2 linked regions of the Pelodiscus sinensis genome follow. The protein of the gene in region 2 purifies or fractionates together with the protein of the main gene of each other region. This does not show direct contact. Links are inferred from orthologs where the notes say so. Each region holds a gene or a part of one and is shown on either strand. Other genes may lie near its edges.

Region 1 (7,038 bases), on a different chromosome or scaffold from region 2:
AAGGAAACCAGGTCAGTGCTAATCTCAGCTCTTCCTCGACCCTCTGGGACTTCAAGCGCTGCTCGCTTGGGATCTCTGTGCCTCAGCGTCCTCCACAAACAAGGGGATTCATACTGACTTGCATATCTCGGTAGGGGTAGGGAATCATGCAGGATCATTCTTTAGCTTTGAGATCCCCACAGGGCTAAAGGCAGGCAGGGGGTTAGAGCTTGGATGGACGGACAGACAGACATCTCCAGGGCTGGACAGACAGGCAATGCCCTCTCCCCAGACCTTTAGCAGCTCCAGGACCATCTGCTCCTCATCTTCCTGCATCTCGCGGATGGCGAGCTGGCTAGGATCCACCGTGGGCATGGCGCCTGGTGGGAGCAAGATGACCTGCAAGGCAGGAAACAAGGCTGAATGCCGAGGGCTTTTCCTCCCCCTCACAGGTCTGGTGAGGCTCCGAGCAGCTCATTCCCCCAGCACTGCCTGCTCCAGCTCTGCGCCCAGCCCGGTGCCCCCCATCACTAGACTAGAGTCACTCAGCCACGGCAGCCCAGAGAGCAGCTGGGCAGGTCCAGGGGCTGGACCCACGTGGTGTTCTCAGGCAGCAGCACAGCCAGTGCCCCCCAGAGAGGGCAAGCCCCAATCCCCGCCCCCTGGGCCAGCCAGCCCCTGCCCTACGGCCAGATTGGAGCCAGCATCCCCTAGAGGAGGAAAGGGCCCATGACCAAGCTGGCGAGGGGGGTGGGGCCACAGAGACAAGGTGGGGAAGAAACAGTCTCAACACTTTGCCTTGGGGCAGCCTCCTCCCTTCACCCCCATCCAAGAAATGGATGAACCCCTTCACAGAGATCCACCCCTCCGCCCATGAGAGGGAATGGGACTGCCCGCCCCCTGCAACCACTGACCCTTCCCCCATTAAAGGGAATGGGACTGCCCGCCCCCTGCAACCACTGACCCTTCCCCCATTAAAGGGAATGGGACTGCCCGCCCCCTGCAACCTCTGACCCTTCCCCCATTAAAGGGAATGGGACTGCCCGCCCCCTGCAACCACTGACCCTTCCCCCATTAAAGGGAACGGGACTGCCCGCCCCCTGCAACCACTGACCCTTCCCCCATTAAAGGGAACGGGACTGCCCGCCCCCTGCAACCTCTGACCCTTCCCCCATTAAAGGGAATGGGACTGCCCGCCCCCTGCAACCTCTGACCCTTCCCCCATTAAAGGGAATGGGACTGCCCGCCCCCTGCAACCTCTGACCCTTCCCCCATTAAAGGGAACGGGACTGCCCGCCCCCTGCAACCACTGACCCTTCCCCCATTAAAGGGAACGGGACTGCCCGCCCCCTGCAACCACTGACCCTTCCCCCATTAAAGGGAACGGGACTGCCCGCCCCCTGCAACCACTGACCCTTCCCCCATTAAAGGGAATGGGACTGCCCGCCCCCCTGCAACCACTGACCCTTCCCCCATTAAAGGGAATGGGACTGCCCGCCCCCTGCAACCACTGACCCTTCCCCCATTAAAGGGAACGGGACTGCCCGCCCCCTGCAACCACTGACCCTTCCCCCATTAAAGGGAATGGGACTGCCCGCCCCCCTGCAACCACTGACCCTTCCCCCATTAAAGGGAATGGGACTGCCCGCCCCCCTGCAACCTCTGTCCCTTCCCCCATTAAAGGGAATGGGACTGCCCGCCCCCTGCAACCATTGACCCTTCCCCCATTGAAGGGAATGGGACTGCCCGCCCCCTGCAACCTCTGTCCCTTCCCCCATTAAAGGGAATGGGACTGCCCGCCCCCCTGCAACCACTGACCCTTCCCCCATTAAAGGGAATGGGACTGCCCGCCCCCTGCAACCACTGACCCTTCCCCCATTAAAGGGAACGGGACTGCCCGCCCCCTGCAACCACTGACCCTTCCCCCATTAAAGGGAATGGGACTGCCCGCCCCCCTGCAACCACTGACCCTTCCCCCATTAAAGGGAATGGGACTGCCCGCCCCCCTGCAACCTCTGTCCCTTCCCCCATTAAAGGGAATGGGACTGCCCGCCCCCTGCAACCATTGACCCTTCCCCCATTGAAGGGAATGGGACTGCCCGCCCCCTGCAACCTCTGTCCCTTCCCCCATTAAAGGGAATGGGACTGCCCGCCCCCCTGCAACCACTGACCCTTCCCCCATTAAAGGGAATGGGACTGCCCGCCCCCCTGCAACCTCTGTCCCTTCCCCCATTAAAGGGAATGGGACTGCCCGCCCCCTGCAACCACTGACCCTTCCCCCATTAAAGGGAATGGGACTGCCCGCCCCCCTGCAACCACTGACCCTTCCCCCATTAAAGGGAATGGGACTGCCCGCCCCCCTGCAACCACTGACCCTTCCCCCATTAAAGGGAATGGGACTGCCCGCCCCCTGCAACCACTGACCCTTCCCCCATTAAAGGGAATGGGACTGCCCGCCCCCCTGCAACCTCTGTCCCTTCCCCCATTAAAGGGAATGGGACTGCCCGCCCCCTGCAACCACTGACCCTTCCCCCATTAAAGGGAATGGGACTGCCCGCCCCCTGCAACCTCTGACCCTTCCCCCATTAAAGGGAATGGGACTGCCCGCCCCCTGCAACCTCTGACCCTTCCCCCATTAAAGGGAATGGGACTGCCCGCCCCCTGCAACCTCTGACCCTTCCCCCATTAAAGGGAATGGGACTGCCAGCCCCCTGCAACCACTGACCCTTCCCCCATTAAAGGGAACGGGACTGCCCGCCCCCTGCAACCTCTGACCCTTCCCCCATTAAAGGGAATGGGACTGCCCGCCTCTCCCCCCGTAATCATCCCCTCCCTTCAAGAACAGAATGGTACAATCCTCCTCCCCAGAGAATGCAACCCCCGCAGCACAGGCGGTGGAACGCCCTGAGCCCTAAACACCCTGTGGCACCTCCCACAACCCACGCCACCCCCTCCCGGTGCGCAATGGACCCGCTCCAAGCTAGCCCAGCCTCTCACCCTAGCCCAGCGCGCAGCCGGCGATAGCCTCGCTCCTTCTGCCCAGTACGCATGCGCCGCAGCTTTTCCCCTCCTCCCCCCCACTTTCCTCCGCCCGCCCAGGTTTTACTTAGTAACCGTTGTTAAGGGCACAACTGCGGCCTAGCGGGCCCGCATAGCGCCTGCCTCGCAGTGCGGGGGCGCGAGGGCAGTGGGGCGCGTGCGGGCACGGGGGCTCTCCCAGCAGGCACCGCCCCATGGGCTCCTACAGCTGATCTTGCGCTGGCCAGGCCTGCGCTGAGGAGAGGCTGGGAGGCCCCATCTGCTCCCTGCAGCCCTGCCCTGGGAGCGGCCTGGAATTAGCGAGGGTGTTGTGTAAAACCCCCAGGAATACCCCCCCCCCGCAACTGCATCGTCACACGGGCCAGCCCGGGCACCCTGCGGGGGCGCAGGCCAGGCTGAGCTGGGACCAGTGATAACAGGGAGGGGAGCCGAGCCAGACCCAGGGACCGCGGAGCGAGGGGCCGAGCCGGACCCGGGGACCCCCGAGAGAGGGGCCGGACCCGGGAACCCCCGAGAGAGGGGCCGGACCCGGGGACCCCCGAGAGAGGGGCCGGACCCGGGGACCCCCGAGAGAGGGGCCGAGCCAGACCCGGGGACCCCCGAGAGAGGGGCCGAGCCGGACCCGGGGACCCCCGAGAGAGGGGCCGAGCCGGACCCGGGGACCCCCGAGAGAGGGGCCGGACCCGGGGACCCCCGAGAGAGGGGCCGAGCCAGACCCGGGGACCCCCGAGAGAGGGGCCGGAACCGGGAACCCCCGAGAGAGGGGCCAAGCGAGACCCAGGGACCCCCGAGAGAGGGGCCGAGCCAGACCCGGGGACCCCCGAGAGAGGGGCCGGAACCGGGAACCCCCGAGAGAGGGGCCGAGCGAGACCCAGGGACCCCCGAGAGAGGGGCCGAGCCGGACCCGGGGACCCCCGAGAGAGGGGCCGAGCCGGACCCGGGGACCCCCGAGAGAGGGGCCGAGCCGGACCCCCGAGAGAGGGGCCAAGCGAGACCCAGGGACCCCCGAGGGGCCAAGCGAGACCCAGGGACCCCCGAGAGAGGGGCCGAGCGAGACCCAGGGACCCCCGAGAGAGGGGCCGAGCCGGACCCGGGGACCCCCGAGAGAGGGGCCGAGCGAGACCCAGGGACCCCCGAGAGAGGGGCCGAGCGGGACCCGGGGACCCCCGAGAGAGGGGCCGAGCGAGACCCGGGGACCCCTGAGAGAGGGGCCGAGCCGGACCCGGGGACCCCCGAGAGAGGGGCCGAGCCAGACCCGGGGACCCCCGAGAGAGGGGCCGAGCCAGACCCGGGGACCCCCGAGAGAGGGGCCGAGCCAGACCCAGTGAGTGCTGAGCTAGACCCAGGGACCGCCGAGAGAGGGGCCGAGCCAGACCCAAGGACTGCTGAGTGAGGGGCTGAGCCAGACTTGGTGAGTGCCAAGACGCACCCGGTGAGCGCCGAGAGAGGGGCCGGGCTGGACCCAGGGATCAGGTCGAGCCAGACCTGCTACCCATTGAGTAAGGGGGCAAGCTGAGCTGGACCCTAAGGGACCTGCTGACCAACGAGCGAGATGGTGAGTCTGGACCCAGTAGGCCCAGCCAGTTCCAGCAATGAATAAGTAATATAAGCCAGACCAATGTGTGAGCCAAGCCAGCTGACGGATTGAGGGGGCAAGCTGAACCAGACCCAGTGAGCAAGCTGAGCTAGACCAGTGAGCAAGGGGCCAGGCTAAGCTGGACCCAGTGACCTGATGGGCAGGCCACATCCAACACAGTGCAGGGTATGCAGGGGAGGTAAAAAAATCCCTTGCTGAGCCACACCCCTCTCTCTGCAGCACAGGCCTGCTAGTGTCATCCTTGAACACTGGGCTCAGCACCCACAGATAGTTGCTTTGCTGAGGCAAGGCCCTGCAGCCCCCAGCATAAAGGCTATCTGATGAACACTCAGGTTTGGCGGGGCCCTGCATACCTCCTCCCACCCAGCAGCTCTAGCGCAGGAACCCAGCACCATATCTGAGCAGATGCTAGTGTGTCTCATGCACACACAGCTGCCAAGTTGAACCTGCAGGCACCCACCAGCCTCAGCCAGGCTTAGTGCAGGAGCTGCAGCTGTGGTGGCAGCAGGAGGGCACTATCTACCAATTAGGCCCAGTTCCCATGCAGCCCTTTGTGGTGTTCAGCCACCACAAGATGGGTGTAGGCGTGAGGCCACATCCCCGTCTGTAGTAAGACAGGATAGTGATACAGCAAATCCAGGATTTACTGGTGTGGCATTCTGACAGGTCTCCTGACCCGTTAGTGATAAATGTTCAGCTCCATGCATTTTCATATGCTCCCTCAGTATATTATGCCTGCTCTGTGCTGGTAGCTAGCATAATAGACTTTACGAGAGCCCCCAAAGACCACACACTTAGATAAGATACAAAGGCACCTGAGTCAGGTTTATTGTTGAACGAAGTACATTAATAATTGTTGGTAGCCAGATGGCCTCTGAGCCCCCTACATATTTGTACCCAGGACAATGGACACAGCCAATCAATAGTATGGATTTCACTATTTCCCCCAGGCCAGCTAAAGAATTAAGTGAGGTACCCCCACATTTATAGTCAGAAATGAACAATTTATGATCCACGCCATACATATCATCTTACGCATTAATGACGTGTTTGGTACCTCTTCTTATACTTTCCTCCAAAGCATTCATTACCCGTTCTGCTTTCACTCCTGTTGTTTCAAACTATTTTATTGTGTACTCAGGTGGGTGTCCCTGTATTGTCCTGGTGGCATGTATTTACATACTTCATGTGCTTTTATCAGTGCTAGCAGTTCTAGGGCGGAGAGACACTGATTTGCGAGCAAACATCTGCTTCTGACATGGACTGTCTGTTACTCATAATAAAACTTTTGCTTACTTTGGTTCAAGCACCCAGCTCTTCAGGCTCTTTCTTTCTCCTACACCCTTCATGCACTGAACAAACCAAACAGAGGCACTTTCAAATCAGTCTTTTATTTGCCTTGTAGGTTGAAGGGTTGTGCCAAGTGCCCTAATACAGAAGGGGCTCTAGAAGAGACAGGGGTGCTCTGCCTACACAGGAGGCCATCTGGGCGTTGGAGGAATAGGCCAGGGCTTTGGGGAGTAGGTATTACCTGGTTACCAGGACAAAGATACAGAAGGTGGCAACTGCTCTCATGCCAGTCTTCTGTCTGCCAGTGCCATGGGAACCCCTCTCCTATAGGAACCACTTGTGAAGAGGCAAGCACCAACTGCTCCACCCACGGGTTGACTGCAGAGCTCCTACCTCTTATTCATGCATTTAGCCTCCCGGAATGCTATGCTCAGCCCACAGAAGGGAAAATGCTCCAATCAGGGAGGGACTTGCTCAGGCTCACCCAGCAGAACCCAAGAGACCTAGCTCCCAAACCTGCATACACTTTAACCACTAGACCCCATAGTGTCAGGGATGGAACCCAGGGGTCCTGACTCCCAGCCCACCCATCCACTCTAACCCCTAGAACCAAGTCTCCTCCCAGAGTTGAGGATAGAACCCAGGAGTCTGCAGCCAGGATAGCTAGGATGATGCAGAACCAGGCTACCTGCACAAGTCTCACAGCTTGCGGCCCCCACTGGTCATCATGTGGGGATATCCCACTATTTTCATATTGCACAGGCAAGACAATCGGGGAACAAGAGCTCTAGCAGATCCTGCAATGCCAACCCACTGCACACACCCCGGCTGGTGTCTGTAGCCAGGGGCTCAGAAGGTGTGAACCAGCTGCACACTGGGCACTGTCTGCACAATCTGGATAGAGGGCAGTTCCTGGGGGGGTGGTACTGGGTTTGGCAGCAGCTGCACCATCTGGGTACTGGTGGCAGAGGGCTGCCCGCCAGCTGACACCCCATGCGCTGTGCCACTGCCAGAGCCCATGTTTTCCAGCACTTGCAGAGTCTGCTCACCAGGCGCACTGCGGATGATGAAGAGCTTCTGCCCTGTTGCCGGTGCCAGGGCTCCTACTCCATTGTCTGGGGGCAGTTCCTGCA
Region 2 (7,668 bases):
AGGCATTGCAGGCACTTGATGGTATATATTGCATTAGTGGATGTGCAGTTGTATGAGCCTCTGATATTGTGGCTTATGTGGTTTAGGTCCGGTGATGATGCCGCTTGTATAGATGCGTGGACAGAGTTGGCAATGGAGTTTATGGCAGGGGTAGGTACCTGGGTGAGTATGTTTGAGGGGTGATGCATAGTTGCTGGAAAGGATTTGCTTCAGGTTAGGGCAGGGTTTCCCAACCTATGGGTTGTGACCCAAATATGGGTCGCCGTTACATTTCAAAAGAGTCTCCAAGTGTCTCCCCAGGTGGCTCTGCCCCTCATCCTACCCGTTTTTTAATTGACTTGGGTCAATTCTTCCTGAATTGTCAAAGTGGATCCCCATCTAGAAAAGGTTGTGAACCGCTGCATTAGGGGGTTGTCTGTAGGCAAGGATTGGCCTGTCTCCAAAGGCCTGTGACAGTGAGGGATCATTTTCCAGGATAGGTTGTAAATTCTTAATGATGTGTTGGAGAGGTTTACATTGGGGGCTGTAGGTGATGATCAGTGGTGTTCTGTTATTTTGCTTGTTGGGCCTATCTTGAAGAAACAGATGCCTGGGTACTCATCTGGCTCTATCAGGTTGTTTTTTCACTTACCCAGGTGAGTATTTAAGTTTTAAGAATGCCTGATAGAGATCCTGTAGGTGTTTGTCTCTGTCTGTCAGATAGGAGCAAATCCGGTTGTATCTTAAAGCCTGTCTGTAAACGATTGTGTAACGTGTCCTGGATGGAAGCTAGAGGTATGTAGCTAAGAATAATGGTCATTAGGTTTCTGATGTAGGGTGGTGGAAATGTGGCCATTGTACTGTAGTGTCAAGGAAATGGATCTCTTGTGTGAACTGGTCCGGGCTAAGGTTGATAGTGGTATGGAAGTTGTTGAAATCCCTGTGGAATTCTTCAAGGGTTTCGTCCTGTGGTTCCATATAACAAAGATGTCGTCAACTTGAAGATATAAATGGTCCCAAATTGGAAATAGTTGTGGGTGAGGACAAAGTCACAGTGCACAGTAACCAGGTGTGCAGTAGCATCATCAGGGATAGTGTTCCTGACAGCTAGTAATAATCATCATGTGGAAAGTTGGAGTAAAGAGCTTCTATATCCATGGTGGCCAGGATGGTGTTTTCAGGAAGATTACTGATGTTCTGTAGTTTCCTTAGCAAGTCAGTGATGTCTTGAAGGTAGCTAGGAGTGCTGATAGCATAGAGTCTGAGGAGAGAGTCAACATAACCAGATAATTCTGCTGTAAGTGTGCTGAAGCCTGAGATGATAGGACATCCGGGATTTCCAGGTTTATGGATCTTGGGTAGCAGATAGAAAACTCCTGGTTAGAGATTTAGCAAGGGGTTTGTATAGATTTCATCCCAAGTTTCATGAGCAGATGGTGTAGGGTTTTTCTGAGTATTCTTCAGTGGGATCAGAGGAAAGAGGCCTGTAGAATGTGGTGTTGATGAGTTTTCTTGCAGCCTCCTGTTTGTAATCTGTCCTGTTCTTGATGACTATAGCACCCCCTTTGTCAGCCTCTTTGATTATAACCTTAGAATTGTTTTTGAAGCTGTGTATAGTGTTGTGTTCTGCATGGTGGAGGTTATATGTCACATATTGTTGTTTGTTCATGTCAACCTGTGCATGTACATGAAAGAGTAATTAACACTTCCTTATTTACTTTCTCCACACCAGTCATGATTTTATAGACTTCTACCATATCTCCCCTTAGACTGTGCCTACACTGTGTATTTTACAACAGCATGGCTGTGACACTGCAGCTGTGCCATTGTGAAAACCGCAGTGTAGCTGCTCTTTGTTCCTGGGAGAGAGCTCTCCAGGCAACAAAATACACTCTCCCCCAAATGAGGGGTCGTGGCTTTGTCGGTGGGAGAGCATTTCCTTGCCAATGAAGTGCTGTCCACTCTGGCGCATTTAATCGTTCAAACTTTTGTTGTGCAGGGGGTGTTTTTCAGCAAAAGTGCAGTGTAGACATGGCATGGACCTTTGGAGTTGGAAAAGACAGCTAAGGGCCGTGGGCTCTTTCCTGGTCACAGAGGGCTGCACTGTGTGCTTTACAACAACGTGGTTGCAGTAGCTCAGCTGTACAATTTTCAGGTGTGCAGTGTAAACGTAACCAAGTCTCGTTAATCTCCATCCCCCTCATCATTTCTGTTGCCCTTTTCTGTACCTTTTTTAACATGAGGCAACCTGAAGTACAGAAGTTGATTTTAAAAACAGGTTACATACCGGTTAGTAGTTCAATTTCACATTTGAGTTACTTCCGAACTCTTGGGTGATACCATCTGGTGCTGGTGACTTATTAATGTTTATCAGTTTGTTCCAAAACTTCCTCTAATGACACCTCAATCTCAGACTATTCCTTAGATTTGACATCTAAAAAGAATGGCTCAGGTTTGGGAATGTCCATCGTATTCTCAGCAGTGGAAAAATTAAATGATTTCTTAATTTAATTTCTCCACTATGCTTTACCCACCTTGAGTGACCCCATTGATTGTTTAGCAGGCTTCCTACTTCTGATTTTTTTTTTAATGTTAAACTTTCTGAGTCTTTGGCTAACTGTTCTTCATATTCTTTTTTATCTTTCCTAGTTATATTTTTACACTTCACTTGCCAGAGTTTATATTCTTTTCTGTTTTTCTCAGTAGAATTTAATTTCTACTTTGACTTTATTGCTTAGCCACAGTAGCACTTTACTATATTTTTTAAATTGGGTTATGTATTGAATTTAAGCCTCTATAATGGGGTCTTTAAAAAAAGCTTCCATGCAGCTTGCAAGGATTTGAGTTTCACACTAGCTTTTCTTTGCTGTATAACTTCTCATGAAAACTCAAATATCAAGCAGGAACACAACAAGGGTGGGAGGGCAGGCAGAACAGCACCCCCTGACTAGAACTGGCTGGCATAATGGTAGGGCACCCTCTTTAGCAAAATTCTAGTTGCCCCCTTGATGGTGGGGGAGGCTGTGTGACTGATCCAAGCAAGAGGGGAAGGAAAGGGTGTGGGATGCCAGGTCTGGTGGGGGTGTCAATCTCTAAGGGGTGGGTGATAGTCCCTATGGTGCCAACCCTGGCAAGGGCAGGCTGCCAAACTTGGTGGAGGCAGGTGGCTAATGCCAGGCCCTAATGGAGATGAGTGAAGGTGCCAACACCCAACAGGGGTGCCAGGCCCCGGAGGCAGGAACAGGTGATGGGTACCAGGCTCTAAGGAGGGTGGGTGGCAGGCAAGAGGAAGCCAGGGCCTGTGCAGCAGGGAGAGGGGGACAGGTAGCTGTCTGGCCCTAGGATGGAGGCTGCCAGTCCCTAGGGAGGCAGAAAGGAGGGAGCCAGACAAGGGGTGCCAGGCTCTAAAATGGTAAGGTAGGTCCGGAAGTGCCAGCCCCTGGTAGAGGCGGGTAAGCGGTGCCAGGCTCTAAGGGGTAAGGCAGCTCCTAGGGGGAGTGGGAGGACCCAGGTAAGGGATGCCAGATTCTAAGGGGGGGGGTGGCAGGTAACGGTGCCAGGCTCGAAGGGGTAAGGCAGGTCCTGGAAGGGGGGGGAGAGACAGGTAAAGGTGCCAGGCTCGAAGGGGTAAGGCAGGTCCTGGAAGGGGAGCGGGGGAGAGAGAGACAGGTAAAGGTGCCAGGCTCGAAGGGGTAAGGCAGGTCCTGGAAGGGGGGCAGGAGAGACAGGTAAAGGTGCCAGGCTCGAAGCGGTAAGACAGGTCCTGGAAGGGGAGCAGGGCAGACAGGTAAAGGTGCCAGGCTCAAAGGGGTAAGGCAGGTCCTGGAAGGGGGGCGGGGCAGACAGGTAAAGGTGCCAGGCTCAAAGGGGTAAGGCAGGTCCTGGAAGAGGGGCGGGGGAGACAGGTAAAGGTGCCAGACTCGAAGGGGTAAGGCAGGTCCTGGAAGGGGAGCAGGGCAGACAGGTAAAGGTGCCAGGCTCGGAGGGGTAAGGCAGGTCCTGGAAGGGGAGCAGGGCAGACAGGTAAAGGTGCCAGGCTCGGAGGGGTAAGGCAGGTCCTGGAAGGGGAGCAGGGCAGACAGGTAAAGGTGCCAGGCTCGGAGGGGTAAGGCAGGTCCTGGAAGGGGAGCAGGGCAGACAGGTAAAGGTGCCAGGCTCGGAGGGGTAAGGCAGGTCCTGGAAGGGGGGCGGGGCAGACAGGTAAAGGTGCCAGGCTCGGAGGGGTAAGGCAGGTCCTGGAAGGGGAGCAGGGCAGACAGGTAAAGGTGCCAGGCTCGAAGGGGTAAGGCAGGTCCTGGAAGGGGAGCAGGGCAGACAGGTAAAGGTGCCAGGCTCGGAGGGGTAAGACAGGTCCTGGAAGGGGAGCAGGGCAGACAGGTAAAGGTGCCAGGCTCGGAGGGGTAAGGCAGGTCCTGGAAGGGGAGCAGGGCAGACAGGTAAAGGTGCCAGGCACGGAGGGGTAAGGCAGGTCCTGGAAGGGGAGCAGGGCAGACAGGTAAAGGTGCCAGGCTCGGAGGGGTAAGGCAGGTCCTGGAAGGGGAGCAGGGCAGACAGGTAAAGGTGCCAGGCTCGGAGGGGTAAGGGGCCCTGGTGGGGGGGCCAGGCCCTGGGGGAGGCGCGTACCGGGCCGGCAGGGGAGGTGCCGGGCCGCGCAACGCCCAGCGGGGGGAGGAGGGACGCTCCCTCCCCTAAGCTGGCGGCGGCGGCCGGGCCTGCCCCCAGGAGGCTCCGGGCCGGCCAGCTCCGCCCCGCGCAGGACCGGACGGGAGGCGGCAGCGAAGATGGCGGCGGCGGCGGCGGGGGCCGGGCAGGCGGGCCCGGACCGGGAGCTGGACGAGCTGCTGGAGAGTAAGGGGCTGGGGAGCGGCCCCGGGGCTCTCTGGCGGGGGAAGGGGAGGATCCTAGCCCGGGGGGGGGGGCTGGAGGGGCGAAGGGCTCGGGATGTAAGATCAGATGGGGGGTCAGGCCTGGTGTGGGGCTGATCGGTGGGGGGGGCTTCCATCACGTGGGGACCCCTGTGGCAGGACAGGACTGTATCTAGCAGGGCCTCGGTCTTGAGACACCCCGTCACTTGTATTCTCGGCCAGCAGGGCCCCAGGGGCTCCACCCCTCTGGCAGCGTTTGAGGGAGCTGCTGGTAGAGGTGCGGCTGGGGTGGCTCTCCTGTCAGGCCCTTGATTGCCCTGCAGGTTACTGGGGGGCTGGGATTTCAGGGGTGCTGCGGGCTGCGCCCTGCCTCCCTCCAGGGGGCTCTGAGTGACCAGCAGCTGAGAGGGCCCATCTACTAAAACATTCAAAGTTGAGATCCAAGTGCTTGAGACCCAGTGAATGTGGGGTGGAGACCTGCCAAACTGTGGTAAATAAACATAATCTTGGACATAACGTGGGCTGTATGATGATGGTGTGAATGGGGGCCTCTAAAAGTTGCTGGGTTAGGAAGCATTATTATTTCTGAGTGCTATCGGAGCGTGGCATTCATCTGAAATAGGCGTTCTCAGCCGACTAGGACGCTCTGTTCACAACAGCTGGTCTTTGACCCTCTTGGCTTGAGGCTGCCAGGTTGACCTTGGTCCATATTTGAGTTTGGGGGACTTAAAGGGAGATTCATTGGGTGTCGGGTGACTCTCTTGTCAGTTATCCAGGGCCCAGTGCAAGGGTGGCAGGTGCTGGTCAGAGGGCTATGTCCTCTGGAAGAGAGGTGAAAGTTACCAGCCATGTGTGTTTGTTTTGGGCTGCCTGGCCACTAACTCTGTTGGGGATGAATTGCTGCTTAGGTGATCACCCTGCACAAATTTCCCTGCAGCTTTATTTAGATACAACATACTTTGTCCCTCATTTGTCCTACATTTACTTACATGGCTGTTAAACAGCCACCATGCTTCACCCCGGCATTTCAGTGGATGAACTGATTTCTGTTGTAGGCATGGGTGCGGGTGGCTTGCTTTATATTGCCCTAGGGCCCAGAGACTAACCAACCTGAGCTCCGTTGTGCTAGATGCTGTATATAAAACATGGCAGACTCCACCCCACAAAGCTTATAACCTAAAAGCCAAGGCATAAAGCAGGGAACCTTTTTTGGGGAACCTTTTTTGGGTCGGGGACCACTGACCCCCAGAAAAATCAGTCAGAGGCCCCGCACAAGTGAAAAGCAAAGTCAGAAACCCCTCACTGAGAAGGAGAAAGACATTCTCCACATTCCCCATGCACACCAGAGCCTAAAGGGGCCCAGGCTAGTAGATTTTGTGTGCTCCAGCCCTGTTAGGAGTAGGCTCAGCACCTACTATGTCCCAATGCTGAGCATCGGGGGCCAGAACTAGGCAAGCTGGGGGCCGGATCTAGGCAAGGGCCCACAGGCCTGAGGTTCCCCACCCCTGGCATAAAGCGTGGATGAAACAAACAATTTGTGGTGGGGAAAGAAGGTAACAAATAATAAGATGTGGGTAATTTTTAGCCAGGAGCAGAATCTGTGAATCCTTAAAGGGACACTGTCACACTAAGGAAAAGTACTACAAAGTTTTCTCAACTATGTCATAACATCTCAGATCACTAACACTGAATGAATGCTAAGAATGTTGAGCCCAGTTTTGCACAGCCTTAGTGTTTTGTGGCTTTATGCATAGCCATTCTTCCACTGAGTAAGAAGTCAGTGGTGCAGCTAAACTTGCTTTCAGGGGTGGTGCCAATCTCCTAATTCTTTGTGCTCCTTGTTGGTAAAGGTTGGACTTCCCTGGTCCAGCACCCTCAGAACTGGACTGGTCCTGCATGAGGGAATTTGCAAGACTTGGGGAGGTTCCCTGCCACTGCCCCCCAACCCACTGCTGGCTCAGGTTACGGCCCCGGCCGGTCACCCTACCACTGGCCCTGGGCAGGCTGCCTGCCGGGCTGCCGCAGCCCCATAACCCCTGCCGGGCTGCCGCAGCCCCATAACCCCTGCCGGGCTGCCGCAGCCCCATAACCCCTGCCGGGCTGCCGCAACCCCATAACCCCTGCCGGGCTGCCGCAGCCCCATAACCCCTGCCGGGCTGCCGCAGCCCCAGCCCTCCTGCCGGATTGCTACGATGTGGCGATACTGGCTCCTCTACTGGGCTGCTGTGTTGCTACACCGTAGCTCCTCAGGTAGGCTGCTGCTGCCTCAACCTTGGCTCCTCTGCCAGGCTATTGGGTTGCCACAGTCCCCCCTCACTTGCCAGGCTGCTGCCAGCCCCACTGGGCTCCCAGGGCTCCCAGCTGCTAGCTGTCCTGCTGCCCAGCTCCCAGCCACTGGGGCTCTCTGGCCCTGGGATCATCCTTGGCCCTCAAGGGATACCATCCGGCTTGTTTGAATATTGATGCAATCTAGCCAAGTGCTCTTCTGGTTCACAGCGAGTTTTTGACCAGTTTTCTTTGAGATTTTTCTGGTGCCAGCCTTGTGCTGCACAGCTTGGTTCTCATAGAAATAATTTTAATTGAATTTTAAACATTTCATTAGCTCTTTATATTAATTTTGAAACAATCTTTCAGGCCATCGAAACCTGCAGCTAAATTTAACCCGATTGAGTCCCTTTAACTGTCCCTCACCTAGGTGTCTTGTGTCAGTTCATCAACGTGAGCCCTGGAGGGAGGGGGAACTTGCCCCACAAAGCTGGATCTTCAGGGATCACGGCTATGCCGCCATGCTGCGTGTGCATAAAATAAAGTACCACGCATAGGC

Evidence for each region. The genes of interacting proteins can lie anywhere in the genome.
Region 1: the proteins of PEX19 (region 2) and NAT14 purify together in Homo sapiens (co-immunoprecipitation; 3 studies listed by BioGRID and IntAct, counting the BioPlex papers as one, with this or other methods). This does not show direct contact. The link is inferred for Pelodiscus sinensis from reciprocal best matches to the Homo sapiens genes PEX19 and NAT14.

What each region holds. Positions count from the first base shown.
Region 1 is NC_134743.1:2,721,483-2,728,520, reverse strand, and holds the start of NAT14 (putative N-acetyltransferase 14), read right to left. Parts: upstream 3,010-7,038; 5' UTR 2,977-3,009; intron 914-2,976; exon of another isoform or gene 894-913; intron 379-893; 5' UTR 355-378; coding exon 274-354; intron 1-273. Other genes in the region: ZNF628 (zinc finger protein 628), read right to left, coding at 6,755-7,038. UniProt on the Homo sapiens protein: Probable acetyltransferase. May act as a transcription factor that regulates the expression of coproporphyrinogen oxidase by binding to a promoter regulatory element.
Region 2 is NC_134734.1:14,636,690-14,644,357, reverse strand, and holds the start of PEX19 (peroxisomal biogenesis factor 19), read left to right. Parts: upstream 1-4,656; 5' UTR 4,657-4,760; coding exon 4,761-4,827; intron 4,828-7,668. UniProt on the Homo sapiens protein: Necessary for early peroxisomal biogenesis. Acts both as a cytosolic chaperone and as an import receptor for peroxisomal membrane proteins (PMPs).